2 linked regions of the Notamacropus eugenii genome follow. The protein of the gene in region 1 interacts with the protein of each later gene in a pairwise test. Links are inferred from orthologs where the notes say so. Each region holds a gene or a part of one and is shown on either strand. Other genes may lie near its edges.

What was found. The genes of interacting proteins can lie anywhere in the genome.
Region 2: the proteins of PRKAB2 (region 1) and GRN interact in binary tests that used the Homo sapiens proteins (3 or more experiments, as listed by UniProt). The link is inferred for Notamacropus eugenii from reciprocal best matches to the Homo sapiens genes PRKAB2 and GRN.

Annotation. Positions count from the first base shown.
Region 1 is NC_092873.1:301,712,560-301,720,636, reverse strand, and holds the start of PRKAB2 (5'-AMP-activated protein kinase subunit beta-2), read right to left. Parts: upstream 3,527-8,077; 5' UTR 3,168-3,526; coding exon 3,006-3,167; intron 1-3,005. UniProt on the Homo sapiens protein: Non-catalytic subunit of AMP-activated protein kinase (AMPK), an energy sensor protein kinase that plays a key role in regulating cellular energy metabolism.
Region 2 is NC_092873.1:349,630,788-349,638,770, reverse strand, and holds the start of GRN (progranulin), read left to right. Parts: upstream 1-4,377; 5' UTR 4,378-4,493; coding exon 4,494-4,519; intron 4,520-5,112; exon of another isoform or gene 5,113-5,215; intron 5,216-7,983. UniProt on the Homo sapiens protein: Secreted protein that acts as a key regulator of lysosomal function and as a growth factor involved in inflammation, wound healing and cell proliferation. Regulates protein trafficking to lysosomes, and also the activity of lysosomal enzymes.

The DNA of each region.
Region 1 (8,077 bases):
TTTAGGGCCAGAAGGGGCCTCAAAGGGCATGGAGTTGACATGTCCCAGGCACAGAGATTTGCCCAAGGTCACCTAGCTTGTATCTGGGGCACAATTTGAGCTTGGCACTGACACCAAGCCCAGGCTGCCTCTGGGCACTGTCAGCTCAGCTTACTTCCCCCTTTTATCCTCAGGGTACAGAACTACAAGAACCAAGGATTCTGAGTCATGGGCCCAATTCAAGCCATTTCAGCAATGTGTCCCACAGACTAAAAACCTGGAAATGACCAGGACCCAACAGCAGAGACCTCTCTTTTGTGTGCTTTAGCCCCCAAATCAGGAGACTCACCTAGAAAAACGAAACAAAACCCACCCATCACACTGACTTTAATTATTCAAAAAGTTCTACTAGGAGGGAGAGGGAAGACAGCCCAAGCCCAGGAAAAGAAGGCCCTGAGCAACAAACATCTGAGATAGTTCCTTCGTTCCTCTCCAGGATGTCCTCCTGACCCTCTTTGGGTTAGCACAGTGCTTGGCCCATAGTAAGCAATCAATGCTTGTTGACTTGAGCAGACAAGTGGTCATCTACACTCTGCTGGAGGATCTATTAAAGGAAAATCCATTTCCTCCTACAGCCAAGGAATCCATTTATGGACAGCTCTCCTGGTTGTATAGTTTTTCTTTACAATGACTTGTCAACTCCTTCCCTATAATTGCCACACGCAATACCCAGTTTATTGTCCTGGGGCCAAGAAGAACTAATCTAATCCACTTTTTCACATGACTGCCCATGAGAATACCTGAAAGCAGCTATCACATCTCCATTAAAGTTTTCTCTTCTTCAGGCTGAAACATCCTCCTGGTCCTCAACCAATCATCATCTTCAGGGCATGCCTACAGTCCTTTTGGACATTCTCCAGCTTCCTAAGATCAAAGATTCAGGGCTAGGAGGGATCTTAGAGTTATCAAGTCCAACTCCCAGATTTTACAGACAAGGAAATTAAGGCACAGAGAAACCAAGTGATTTATTTGTCCAGGGTCATACTTAAGTAGATGGGATTTGAACCAGGTCTACACGGGTCTAATGTAACTACATAAGCCCTTTCCACTACACCACGGTGTCTCCTCAATGGCCTTCCTAAACTGTGAATTTGAACTGAATACAACATGTACAATCCCCCACTCCAGCCCCAAATTATGAGTGAATTATTTTCCTAGGCCAGAGGTGGGGAACCTGTGGCCTCAAGGCCACATGTGGCCCTCTAGATCCTCAAGTGCAGACCTTTGATTGAATCCAAGCTTCACAAAACAAATCTCTTTAAAGGATTAAATGATTAAAAGAATTTGTTCTGTGAAATTTGGGTTTAGTCAAAGTTCTACACTTGAGGATCTAGAAGGCCACATGTTCCCCACCCCTCTTTGGGCTATGTAATACTGTTCTCATATTGAATTTGTGGTTCAGTAAAACCCTCAGGTGTTTTTCAAATAAAAAAGTCAACATTCCTCTCAGAGCTTCTACTTGTCAAGTAAGTCACTGTAGAAGGATCCCAAGAGTAACCTTTATATCTGGCCTTCTAGGAGACCCTAGCCCCTTTTCCTCCACCCTCTGGTTTTCAGAAGATCAACAAACTTGTATGAGGGGAGGAGAACAGAATCACATTTTACTTTTCACTAACCTCTACCTGAAATTCAGCATTTCCTTCAGTTATTTAAAAATATTAATTCAGGCAAGAGATCCATAGACTTGCTTGGCAAAGAGGTTCATGACACACACAAAAACAAGAATCCCTGATTTAGACAGGCAGTTCCAATTGATGCATAGTTTTCCCTTGCAATCCTGTCAGTGACCCAGGCTTCCAAATCACTTAGCTCTTCACTTCCACTCAGCCCACACATCCATCCAATCTGGAGCTAAGCCTGCTTGTTTCTACCTTAGCATCAACACTCCTGTACTTGACCTTCTCTCCTTCAACAATCACCACCTGGCTCATCAACTCATGCCTGGACTATTTCAACAACGTGCTGGCTGCTCTCCCTACTATTTCCCCCTAAATCTGCAGCCAAAGCAACCTTTCTAAAGCCCTCCTCTACTTAGTAAATAAAGTACTCTTCTTCTCACTGAAAGAAAAGACTATCCAACAAGTAGATCAATTAAAAAAAAAATTAACACTCCCTATTACTTCCAGGATATGTATGTATATGTGTGTAATATATATTATGTGTGTGTGTGTATATACACACACACACACACACACACACATATACACACACACACAAATACATGTGTGTTCCTGTTTGGCTTTTAAACCCCTCCACAGCCTAGTCCTCCCTACCTTTCCAGTCTTCTTACACTTCTCTCCCTTCCACCCATTCTCTGATCTACTGACACTGGCTCCTTGCTGTTCCTCGAACAAGATACTCCCATTATTCTGACCTGGCTGTCCAATAGTCTTTTCTACCACCTGGCTTCCTTTAAGATTCAGGTCAAAACCCACCTTTTGCAAAAAAGCCTTCCCCCCCCCCCCCCCCCCCCCGGCAAGACATCCCTTTCACTTTTTATATCTTGTCCATACATAGCTGAGGGCACGTTCTCTTCCACTAGAATGGATGCTCCTTGAGGCCAAGGCCTGCTTTGGGATTCCAGGATGGTCCCTGCGCGCTTGGCTTAAGAGAGCCGGCTGAGCCTCCCTCATCTGCCCCGCTGCACTAGCCGGTCAGTCCATTTTCCACCACGGATAACTCTTCAGACCCTAGAAAACGGCTCCCACAGAAGCCTTGGCAAACACCAAGGCCGAGCACACCGCGAGAGGGCAGCGCGCCCAGGCGTTCTGCTGCAACTGACCAGACTAGAAACTTACCAGTCTAGAGAAACTGACCAGACTAGAGAAACTGAGCAGACTAGAGAAACTGACCAGACTAGAGAAACTGAGCAGACTAGAGAAACTGAGCAGCCTCCCAGGCACACCGCCCGGGGAGGGGAGCTGAGCGGGGTCGGAACCCTGCCCTCCGCCGCGAGCGCCGCGCACCTTGGAGTCGGGTACGCTGAAGACGCTCGGGTCGTCCGTGCTGCCCACCATAATCTTGTGCGGGTGCTCTTTGCCGTGCGCCTGGCCACCGGCGCCATCGGCGCGGTGGGACTTGGAGCCGTGGCGTTCCCCTGGCACTCGCTCGCTCGTGGTATTGCCCATGGCGGCTCGGAGGTCCCCAGCAGGGGGGGGATGGGTTTGTCCTCCTCCGCCGCTCGTTCTTGGGCCTCCTCAGGGCACCACCCCCTCCTTCTTCGGGGAAGACGGCGAGCAGGAGCCCGGGATCCCCTGCCTTCCTCCCACTGCTCTCCGAGAGTTCCCCGGGACAGCCACCCCCCACCAAAGATGCAGCCCCATTCGTCTGGGCAGCGGAGCGCCCTCCTCCCGGGAGGGGGTGGGGCGGGAAGGCGGCCGCACGCGTGCGCAGAGGTGGTTGCGCCCGGCCTGTGGGCTCAATAAAGTTATTGAAACGGAAGGGCTGACGATTCGCGTTTCCTCCTAAAATGGCGAGGAAGCCGCCGGGTCCTCCTCGGCCCTCCCCCACGCGTGCCTCTCTAGGCGGGCGGGCTTGTTCTCAATGGTAGTGGAGGTGCCTCGGTGGGCGTGGTCCTAGGGGTGGAGCCCGCGGAGGGGAGGGGCCGCCTCTCTGCTCCCCAGCCTCACAGTCTAAGTGTGAAGCCCGGTGAGGTCGTAGGGTCCAGCCCGCCCCTTGGACAGAGGGAGAAGCTGAGGACCTGGGGGAGGGGGACGTCGGTGGCAGTTATGTTATGTGTCCCATTTTTAAAAATAATTCAAACTATATCTTGTGAACTACTGCTACTTTTTTTTGTTAATTACTTCCCAATTACATTTTAAAACATTTTCAGCATTCATTTTTTAAAAAAATACTGAATTCCAAATTCTCTCCCTTCTATCACTTTAAGAAGGTAAAGAATATGGTACTGATCCTAAGTATGAAATCAAACAAAACATTTGCATATTAGCCATGTTGCAAAAAGTTAACAACGACAAAAACCAAGAAACAAATTTTAAAAGTCTGCTTTAATCTGCACTCGGTTCATCAGTTCTCCCTGGAGATGAAGAGTATTTTTCACAATTTGGAATTGTCTTAGATCATTGTACTGCCATTCTCAGCTAAGTACTTCATGGCTGCTCCTCATGCAGTCTTCCTGTTACTGTATATGATGTTCTCCTGGTTCTGCTGACTTCGCTCTTAGGCAGTATCTCTCGTTAATTTTTTTTTGTTTGCTTATTAAAAATTCTGATCAGACGGTGAAGAGTTAGCAGTGTGTGCACAGACAGCTAACTGAGGAATAGCTCCCACTTTAATAATAAGCTTTCTTGCCTACTGAAATGCACAGTTTCATTCTTTACTATGTTTATGGGGCTCTCCATATGCTGCACACAACAATTCTGAAGGAAGAGTTCATGATACAGAAGCTTGTGGCTTCTGTCAAATCTACAAGTCTTTGGACTTTTTCAGTTCTTTCTTCTGAACCACAGTGGGCCATGTACATCTCTCCTTTCTCACCTTTTTTCCAGCTTTACATTAATCAAGTAGCAGAGTGAATGTTGATTTTAATTCAAAGACAGGACAAGGTGAGATATATAGGGTCAAGTATGGTTTTAAAGAAAGAATTGAGGAAATCCAGAGAATTGTGGTTTGTCTTTCATTCTCCAAAAGCACCATGACATCAGGTAGATGATAACATGACTTGAAGTTTACTTTGATTTGAGTGAGAGAGTGCTGAGAAAAGTCACCAGCCTCACTTTCTTCTCCAGAGCCATCTGGGTGCAGTGACCGGATAACAATTCAGACAACTAGAGATGACCCAGCCCAAAGACTCTGCGATGAACTCTTGCCTCAAAATTGGTGGGTGCAGGATATGATGAGCACCAAATAACAGTAAAAAAATGAAAGTGTCTACATTTCAAAAGGCAAGACAACTTAGAAAAGGTTCTTATAAGCTCTTCAGGGGAAAAAATGACAACATTGCCATAATTTCATCCAGAAGTTAAACCAATGTAAATTAATTCCTACACAGAGAATGAAGGACTCCAGAAAAATGCCTTGCTCATCGAATGCTCATTTGATTTGCCAGAGAAATATCTGCCAAAGACAATACCAGGCTAGAATATGAACTCTATAAAAATGTTATAAAGAAGAATTATAAATGATTATGAGGAATACCTTCTCATAAAGCAGTGAAAAGCAAGAGAGGCTCAAAGGAGTTAAAAGAAAGCGTGGCAAGATAGCCAACTAAACAAAGTCATCCCGATAGCATTCAAGGATGCAAATGAAAAGAAGATTAGAAATAAAAAAAACTAGAAATGATTTACCAAAAAGTCATTTCAACAGACCTCTAAACCTAGTGGAATCACTGTATTTCAACCCTAAAATCATAGTCCCTGAGGTAGAAATAGCACTAAGAAAACAAAACATAGGAAAAGCAGCAGGGTTTGATCAAGTATGTATAGAAATCTGTTCTGGAGATTATACAATTCTGAAGACATTAAGGGATTGATGTACAAAGTATCTGCAGGAGGAAAAGTTAACCAAAAGTGCAGAAAGAAATGTTGATGGAGAAAATGTCAGGGACCACTAACTAACTCATGTAGCTTCCCTCCTAACTATATATTAAATTTTAAGATGATCAGTAGCATGAATTGAGGTTGTCCTTGAGGGTGATACTAATAGGGAATAAGCAGACTTTCTATAGCAATATTCAACAATGTGCACAATTGACAACAATATCAAAATGGAGTGAAATATGTAGAATATAAGATCCCAGTGTGCTCATTGTTGGAGATAATGAGGTGGCTCAGCAGACAGAGCACTGGAGCTGGAGTCTGTGTCTGACCTGGTGTCTGACCCCTCCTCATTCCCCTTTTCTGTTCCCTTCTTTTTTCTCTTTGGGCTGGCTCATTCATATAACCTGTCATCATACTGGTAGGTCAGGGGTTCCAGAGTGAGTGTGCATGCTGCTATAACTGAAATCAGATATGAACTATGTGACCCTGGGCAAGCCATCTAACATCTGTCTGCCTCAGCTTCCTCGTCTGTAAAATGGGGGTAATAATAGCACCTACATCCATTTGTAAAGCACTTTGCAAACCTTAAAACACCATATAAATTCTAACTATAATTATTATTGCTGATTATGAAAAGTACTTGGTTCAGTAAAACAGGCTCTTTTTACAAGATGTTTCCCATCCATCCATCAAGATCTTTCAGGATCCCTTGGAAGAGGTAACAACAGAAATTACTGTTTGGGGACCCTTTGGAAATTGGCATCAGATGAGGCATCAGAGATGCTTGCTGTCCAAAAATATTTGTTGTTGTAATAGAGATCTAGCACGGAGTCCAAGCTGAGGAGGGTAAAATCCTCCACAAGTTCCTATTTGCAGATGCTATTTTATTGATTTAATCAATCCCCAAAACATTGCAGAGCCTCCTGAAAGATTTTTAATCACTCAAAGGAATTTGATCTGTCTATCCATATAGGGAAGACCAAACGGATGAAAATGTCTATTGCCTAGAGTTTCAACATGCATCTGAATGAACATCCTATAGATTTTTTCAACAACACACACACACACACACACACACACACACACACACACACACACACACACACATCAAATGGTCCAAATGGGCCAACTTGGGCCCTGAGTTGAAAAGGAAGAGACCACGCTGGAAGACTTTCCAGAAGCTGTAAAACTTTTACTGAGCCCAAACTTCCCATGAGAGTTTTCCCCTCTTCACCCGAACATGGGGCGGGGGGAGGAGTAGCCAACAAATCCCCAGTTCTTTGAGCATGTACAATATATGCTTCCTGATGCCAATCCACTTGGATACTTGGTGAGCCTGTTTCTAGAAATGTGTGAGGATAGTGCTTTTTCCCAGGTCATATGCAGGGTTTTTTTTTTTTTTAAAGACTCATGAACAAAACTCTCTCTTCCTGTCAGCATTCAGTGAAAAGGAGGAAATGCTGTGAGCCTTTAAGGAAAAGTAGCACAGGAACAGGTACACTACCTCTCCACCCAGCCACCACATGACCATGAATTTATTGCACAGTGGATTGGGGTTTTGGGGGGCGGGATTTGTCTTTTTTTGTCTATTTCCTTATCTTAGGTGAGTAAGTGTCAGAGGCAGAACAGAACAGATTATGACCTAGGGAGCTTTAAGTGGTTGGAAGAACACCAGAAATCTGATGCCTGGTTTCCATATGTGCTATAAGAAGACACAACCCCTCAGGGTTACTGATACAGTCCTGAAGGGAGAAGAAGTCATTGCTTTCTGGGGACCCAACCTGCCTGTTGGAGTGGGAGTTAGGAGAGTGAATCCATATATTTAAGCCACACTTGTTATTTTATTGGAGGAAATCTTTTCTATAACTACATCAAAAACTTTAAATCTTAAGAGAAAATAGTCTAGTCATTAGTAAACTTTTGTGCAGATTACCTTTGATAAAGGGCATTAAAAGCCCTAAGTTCAGAGTTATAAATTGCTGCAGACCCAGGCATTCCTAGGGAGGAGATGTACCTCCCTGCTGTCTTTCTGTAAGTTTGTGTCTACTCTCCTCCCTCTACGGATACATGTATATTGAACTTAGAATGTGCCCTCACTTTGCCTTCTGTTTAGCAAAAGTTTCTGAGTAAATTGAGCTCATTTTCTCTGATTTGTTAAGTGGGAAGTATATCAGCATGGGATTGAGTCTCTTTTATAAGTAGTATAAATCTAGCTCCTGTACCGTAGGGTGTCCACAAAGACCCTCAGAGAGTGAGTTGTAGCAGTGTGAACACTCTGGAACCCCTGACCTACAAGGGCAGCCAGCTCAAAGAGAAAAAAGAAGGGAACAGGAAAGGGGAATGGGGAGGGGTCAGACACCAAATCCACTGCACTATAAAAGGATTGGAAAAATATCAGGAAGATAGAATAATCCAGAACACAGCTATTAAAAAAGTCTGAGTTGCTGTGAAGAGAACACCTGTCATAGAACCCATATCCAGGTAAAGCTGACATCAGGCTTTTGCTGAAACAATGTACATGAAGTTAGGCTGTCAAAGGG
Region 2 (7,983 bases), about 48 Mb from region 1:
ACACCATGCCCATTTCCATCCAGCCCCTAACGTTGCTGTGTTGCTGTCCCTATACCAAGAGACACAACAATCAGCCTGGTTGCTGGGACTCTGAGCAAGGTGCCAAGCAGCCAAAGTAGGTGCCTGACCTATCTGGCAAGTCTCCCAGGGAGAAGCCACTAAGAAGAGTAGGAGAGTGGATGGCTACAGCAGGGTCCTCACAGGGGATGCCCATGCCAAGGTAGAACACTGAAGGGGACACATGATGGGGGAAGGGGACGCAAAGATGCCAGCTGGGTTGATAGGCTGCGGCAAGGTGATGACAACCCTGCCAGGGACCCAGAAACCCGAGATCAGGTTGGAGGGGAGAAGAAAGGGGAGACATAGAAGGGATGGATCCTTCTTCCTGCTCAGCATGCCTCCTTTTAAACGGCTGTTTCTAGTCAGTTGGGGAAAAGATTATCTTACTTAAAATAAATTCAATGTATAAGTATGTGAATATATTAAATATATGGGGACTTAAAGAAAAAGAATGGGATGTTCTTAATGAAAATCTGGAAGCAAAGAGTACTTGCTGGCTCCTGTGTCTGAGAACCGGGGTTCAAGGCTTGACTCTGCTACTTGGTAGTTCTGTATGACCTTGAACAAGCCATTTCCCTTTGGGCTAGAGTTCTCATCTGGAAAATGAGAGGAGTTGGCCTGGATCTCTAAGGGCCCTTACACCTCTAGACTCTGTGGTCTCCTAAAATCCAGGGACATCTATTTTGGACTGTCAGGGCTTTCTTTTTGTTCTCTTTCTAGTTTTTGGCTATGTACCCAAACAGTCCCACTGCTCCCCAAAAGACCTGGAGTCCAGCTAGTCTCCTCACATGCCAGGTGAATTCTTATCCCCAGGCCTCTGTTCTCCCTGTTTGAATACCTCTCCCCTCCTTTCCAAATCATCCCCATCTTTCAAAGTCTGGCTCCAATGCCAGAAAGCATTCCCTGACCTCTTGGATAGAAGATAAAGGCTGCTAGGTTGGCCCTCCACCTCACCCAGAGCTCCTGCCCTCCTGCCAAAGCTTTTATTGTGGCTCTATTACTGTGGATGTTTGGATCATAACCTGAACCTAAGGTCTGAAATATCCTGAATTTGGAGTCACTGTTTAGTGTCAGAAGGAACTACAAAGGCTAATCTGGCCCAACTGATGCGGTTTAAGGGGTTCAGGGACCCCCGAAGGACTGAAGTACTGGACAAGTCATCTGGAAAGAATTCACAGACTCAAGCATTCCTTGACTCAAAGTGGCCAAGGTTTATGGTAACGCCACTATGGTGGGCAGAGTTCCTTAAAGAACTTGCAACTTAATAGGAATGATGCTAAAACTTATATAGGAAAAGTAGTGGACCATCTGGCAGATATGCTAATTAAGTGATAACTTACAACCCTGGTCACTGGCGTCATTCACTACTGGAAACCAGGGTAAGGGGTTTCTCAGGGGTGTATTTTTGGTCTTTAGGTTCTGTAGCAAGATAGCTTTGAGAGCTGGTGTCTACAGCTTGGCATCTGGATTGAATATGATAACTTTGGGAATCAATACATGATAATTCTATGGTTACAGAACAATCCTGTTTTTACAAGAGAATTTCTTCAGTGCTCAGCTTGTTTTCTGATGGGGAGAGATAGTTTGTTTTACTGGGGCACACTCATGAGTTATTGGTGGGCATAGTGTCCTTGGGCTCAGGAGAAAACTGTCAGGAATAGCGTTTTGAAGCTAGGGAGAATGTGATCTTGGAAGTGGAGTCTAAGCACAAGTATCAGATCACAACCTCTTCATTTTACAGATGAAGAAACTGAGGCTAAGAAATAAAACGACTTAGCTTCACAGAGAAACAAGTGGGTTTTGTACAGAGATCTCTCCAATTCTAAATCCAAAGCTCTTGGATTCCAACTCTAGGAGCTTATAGTTGAGGTGGGAAGATAAGATGGAGAAAATGTGATCAGACCCTGTCACAATCAACAGTACAAACAATGCTGCAGTCTCAGAAGGCCTTTGGGGGGGGAAGCAAGACCAAGTATACAGGTCTTCTGAGTATGTGTAATGAAGGGTAGAGTGAGGAAAGGCAGGCTAAGAGGAAAAGAAAGGAAACAGAACAAAGAATTATGGTCAGGCAGACACCAAAATCTGCCTGGAGCTAGTTGTGTTGTGTTGGCTGGAAGGGAGAGATAAAGCTAGACCCAGGGCTAAAGGCCTTGAATGATAAGCTAAACAGTGGAGTCAAACTCAAATAGAAGCAGATTCCCCAAAGGTGACGTATTGACTTAGAAACCTACAAATTAACATTAGCTATGAATGCATGTATGTGCGTGTGTACATGTATACAAATATATGTATATACATATATATGCATACACACATACACACACATATATATGTACACACACGTTTTATTTTATTAAATATTTCCCAATTATACTTTAATTTGGTTCAGGCATTGGTTTGACACCTGTGAGCTTTTATCCTGCAGGAACTTTGGAGGGAGGCTAGATGGGGGCAGCTAGGTAAGGGAAGCAGATAGAGCACTGGCCCTGAAGGCAGGGGGATTTAAGTTCAAATCTGACCTCAGATATTTAATAGCCATGTGACCCTAGGTAAGTCAATTAACCTTTTAAAAAAGAGACAGATAGGCTGAATCTAGGGAATTACTTGGTAAAGTTAGCGTTTTAGGAAAGTTCATCTACCAACACAGCTTCAGGCTGTGAACCTGATCTGATTTTGATCTACTAGGGAATGACCCTGGAGGCAAGGTGGTCATGTAGAAGACAGTCTTGGAAAAACTTGAGTGAGGGCCTACATACTGAAGTAACTCCACAAAGGACCTGAGCCAAACTTCTGGACACGAAAAAAAGAATCCAAGAATAGGAAATCTAAAGATAACACCCCCCCCCCCAACTTGAATTCCTAGATTGGGTCCCCAGAGAGCAACAGCTACCAGGGCTCTCAGGGGTTCCCACTCCTAACACTAAAGCTTCACAAGTTTCAGCCTGTATGTCTTCCCTTAACAGACATCTGGTAGACATACTTAGCTGTTTACTAATGCTACTGTTTACTAAGATGGCATAATAAGAGTAGTAGCTATAAAACATTACCTCCCCCCATAAATTGGGGGTGCATATTGCCATAAATATACAGAAGATCTTAATGAGTGGGCTCCAATTTGGAGTCAATGACAGATATAGAGAACAATACATCTTCAAGGCAAATCACAGCCACGCCAGTCCAAGACTCCAGGGTCTAGCCATTTCTCAAGAGATCCTCCAGTGGTTTTCTGCTGAGCTTGAGGCAGGATGCTCTACTTGTAGGACAGGCTTGTTTCTTATATGGCGCAGCTTCTCTGGTGAATAATAGCTCTGCTAGATTCCCCTAAGATTTGTTTACTCTTCACCAGGCAGTTATGGTCTCCTCTTTCTCCAGTGGAGACCTAGCACTAGCAGAATCCTCCCCAGTTCTGCTCCTTCAGGGTCTCAGATAGCAGAAGTTTTAGCTTTTCATCCCAAAATGATTCTTCAAGTATCTGTTGGGCAGAATATATCCTCTTCGGGTACCCGGCTCTCATTCTAAGCTACATGACAGATGAGGATGAGAGCGGAGATGAGAGAGATGACAGAAGTGTCTTCCTTACTTCATACTTCTGATGGGGATAAGATCTGAACCCCCCAAAAGAAAAGACCATGTCTTTGGGATCTGGACCCCTAAAAGGAAAAGTCCCTGGACTTTCCCCTGCAGCTCAGGTCCCTGGTGGTCGCCTGAGGCCCTCCCAGTTAACTTCTTTATTTTCTTCACATCTAGACTCCTTCTCTGTTCTCTCAGCTTTTTGTATAAAAGACCCATCTTGTCTCCATGCAAAGTGCTCAGACTCCTTAAGGGTCTAGCCAATGCTTGGATTACTTAAGAATCTGGCCAATATGGCGCATTTTTAGAATCAGGCCCCTCTTCTATCTGTGTTTTAATAAACCTTGTCTTTGGCTGCAAGAAGGCTTGGGCCAAATTCATTGCGGCAGGACGTGCACGTCACTATGTGGGGTGCCAGCACCCCTAAGTCTCCACAGTTTCGCAGGGCTTCCCTCCTGGCCTGGCTCCTGGACCTTGGCTTCCTTAGATTGCCCCTGTTCTGTCCACAGTGACTGGAAAGAGAAAAGCCCTGGTTCGGAACCCGCCTCCCCCGTTTCCCAGCGCGCGATCCCAGCAGTCACTGGACTTGCTCAGCTTGTTTCCTCCTCGGTGACCAGAGGACCCCCCGTGGAGTTCGAGACACGACTGGAAAGGGCCCGGCGCACGTCGGTCAGGATGGCCTTGAGGGGGCCTGCGGGGGTGGGGGGGGTTCCGTCCGGGGCCGGTGGGCCGGACCACCCTCGGCTGACTCAGCTAGGGGCCTGCGGACGCCTCGACCGTCGGCTAGCCCTCGTGCGCCCCGCCAAGGTTTGCCAGCCCTCCACGAAGGGCTCTTTTCCCTCCTCCCAACAACCCTGAGCCGGATGTTAGGGTTCTCCTCATTTTACAGGTAAGGAAATGAAGAGAAGTGGAGGGCAAGGGGCTCACCCGGGGTCGCCCGGCTCAGGGCTGGCGGGGAGAGCTCCCCTCCCCCTCCCCCAGCACCAGCACCGTGTCTGGGTTCGAATCCGGGCTCCAGCAGCTAGCTGTGCGCGCCCCGACAAGTCCCCTAACCTCTCCGGGCCTCAGTCTCCCAGCTATGTAAAAGGACCGGGGTGGGAGGCCCGGACCGGATGCACCTGGGAGCTCCCCTTTCCTGGGCCCAGCTCCAAGGGGCCAGCCTAACTGGATGAGGAAAGGAACTGCTGGGGCGGGGGTGGGGATGGGGGGGTCGGAGGCGTCACGGGACAAGGCCGCGGTCAGGACTGGCGCCTAGCTTGGGGTGATCGGCGTCCGTCGCTCTCCTCCCTCCCTTTTTCCCCCGCCCTCACACACCGAACCCCAGGCAGCCCGGGGACCACGTGATCGTGCCATCACATGACGCTCTCGTAATGGGAGGGTGAGGTTGGCGGGGTGGCAGCGGGGGTGGGAGGGAGTCCGGGTTCTGCCGCCCCGCTGGGGGGGTGGTGGCAGCCAATGGCGGTGGGCCGGCCCCGAGCTCTCAGCCAATAGGAAAGAAGTGGGCGTGGCCCCCAAATCTGGCCGGGTCGGTCGGCGTGTTGCGGCCCCGCAGTTTGTGGCCCAGGGCAGTGAGGGTTGCGCTAAGGTAAGCAGGGCCGTCTCCCGGGGGACCCCGGCCAGCGGGGCTCTGCTTGGGGAGCGTGGGGGGGGGGGGGCTAGTGGGCTCTCCATGCTTGGAAATTGGGAAGGGGGGCTTCTTTTGGGGGGGGGTCAGCCCCCAGCGGGGGGGCTGCTAGTGAGCGGTGACCTCAGTGACTGCCTTCCTTGGAAGAAAGGGAGCCTGCCCATGGCCCCCAGACCCCTTTGAAGTTAATTTCCCGTCTCCCCCACCTCCGTTTAAAGTGGACACCCTGAATGATTTAGAACACTGAAAACAAATAAAATAACAAAAAAAGTGGGTACCCTGGCATCCTGGGGGTCCCGTCTACCCCCCGTGCCAGTTGGACGTGCTCTCTTCCCTGGGCTATTATCTGCTGGGGCAAAGTCCCCAGAGCCAGGAAGGAGGCAGGCAGGAGTCTGTCCCCACCCCCCCTCAGTCCCTAGGGAAGGGGTGAAGAGCCGGACACAATCAAGCCTTGGGCAGCCTGGCACAGCCACAGGACTGGGCCCCCTTCACCCCATCCCCTCTGTGGCTCCCTACATCCCTAGAAATAGCTTAAGAAGGAATAGCCTTTGGGAGTCTGGTTCAGGGTTCAACAGCTCCCTAATAACTTTTTCTTTTGGGTGTCTCACCCTCCTGGCTTCTCTCTGCCATTTTACAGCCCTGAGTACAAGGCGGTCCAAAGCAGGCACAAGAACAGAGAGAGAGAGGAGGTTGGGAATTGGTATTACTAAAACGTTGTTTCTCTCTTCATGCTGTACAGCACAACACACACAACTCCCCTAGGCTTGATTCCTTTTTTTGCAAACTCAGTTGTATTTCTCCTGTGGTTTTTTTTTTTTTTTTAGGAGGAGCCAAAGGTTGGGCTTGTATGGGTCAGGGCCTCAGGTCCTGAGAGGAGGAGTTTATCCAAGTAAAAGCTTTCATCTCCCCATAGAGGAAATAATTTTGTAGAGGCTGGAAACCTTAGAGACTTTGGTGTCTGCCCATCTTTAGACCTTACATTCCGAGAGGCCGAAAGAGAAACAGGTGGAACACCTAGCTAGTGTGGGGAAAACAAGAAATAAAGCAGAGGAGGACCTAGCTGGACCTCAGAAGCTTTGGATTTTTTCTGGGAAGAAAGGAAGGCGGAGGATGAGGAAAGGAGCCTCCTCGTCAAAGTGACTTCTGTGGTGACCAGGGAAGAGTAGGATGAAGGATACCTGGGACTTAGTTGCAGAGCAGGGTTTGAATTTACCGTCACCACTACTGTAATGTCCCACCTACTTAGCTACATCAGATTTGGGGGGCTTAGTCTCTCCCTGTTTCTGCCCCTCCCTCCATCCCAGCTTGGGGATATCTGGATTTCAAGGAAACTTGGTCTCTCAGATGAGGTAAAGGGTAAGAAGGAGGTAACCTCAAAGACCTGTCCTAAAGCTGTTCTCCCCTCCCAACCTATCTCATCTGTGGCTTATGTCAGGAAATGATGCTGACACTTTCTCTTAGCAGTTACTCTTAGTGACCCTGATTTTTTTTTCTTCTATTTCCTCATCTCATCGATTATTGATGGAGGGGGTGAGGCAGGCAAACGTAGAGAAAGAGGGACAAAGAGTTGAATCAGAAACATTTCCCAGATCCCAAGAGCCTGGCCTCTCTCCAGCTTCCATTTTGGAAATTTGTTGAGTTGTATTTAGTCACGTCCAACACTTCATGACCCCTTTTGGGGTTTTCTTGGCAAAGGTATTAGAGTGGTTCGCCATTTCCTTCTCCAGTACATTTTACAGATGAAGAAACTGAGGCAAACAGGGTTAAGTGACTTGTCCAGGGTCACACAGCTACTAAGCATCTGAGGCCTCATTTGAAACCAAGTCTTCCCAACTCCAGGCCGGGCACTCTATCCACTGCACCATCTGGCTTCCCATCATCTTGGAAATGTGTTCTAATATTACCCAACCTCTTCTTGGATCAGTGAAAATGACATCCTCCCCCATAAGTTCTTAATCAAGGGCTGGGTAAGGGAACCCATATAAGAGTTTCCTGCCCTTACATCTATCCTTCTTTTGCAGAAGTTAGTATCACCCCCCAAACCCTTCTTCCCACCCCATCCCCACTCTTGAAATGATCAGTCTTTTCCCTCTTTGAGCTTGAAGGAAGGGATGACCCAACAAGTCTGGGCCAGCCAAGCGTGTCTCCACCACTGCCATGAGACTTAGTTCCCTCTGCTGATTCATGGGTAGGGTGGGGGAGGGGGGACAAGAGACTGCGAAGCAGCTGTTGAAGTCCAGATGAGGCAGCATTTTGGTGTGTGGGAATAAGGGGCTTGGAGAAGAGAGATTGTAGGTGGGAAGAAGGGCGGTAGAGAAAGGGGGAGTGGGATGGGGCATAGGAGAGCTACAGTAGAGATGGGAGAGATGGGTTAGGTGTGGACTAGTGCTCTACACTCTTCTTTACCCCTTGGCTACGCTCCCCTGTTTAGGATCCAGGGAAGGGTGTAAACAGATGTGGTTGACGGAGAAAGAAGAGTCTTGACTCACAGATTCTTTCTACTTCCCTTTTTCTTTTGAAAGTTTTCCAACCACGTTGTTTCCGGTGTAATCATGTGAGCCTTTCCTCTCAGTCAAATTGATCCTTGAAGCAAGTTTAAACAAGAATGATTACTAGGACATGAGCACAATGAGGAATGGTTCCCTTTGGGAGACCTTCCCATCCGGCTCCAGCTCCCTGCTCCCCCTTTCCCAGAGGTTAGGTATAGCTGCCTGACCCAGGAGATAATG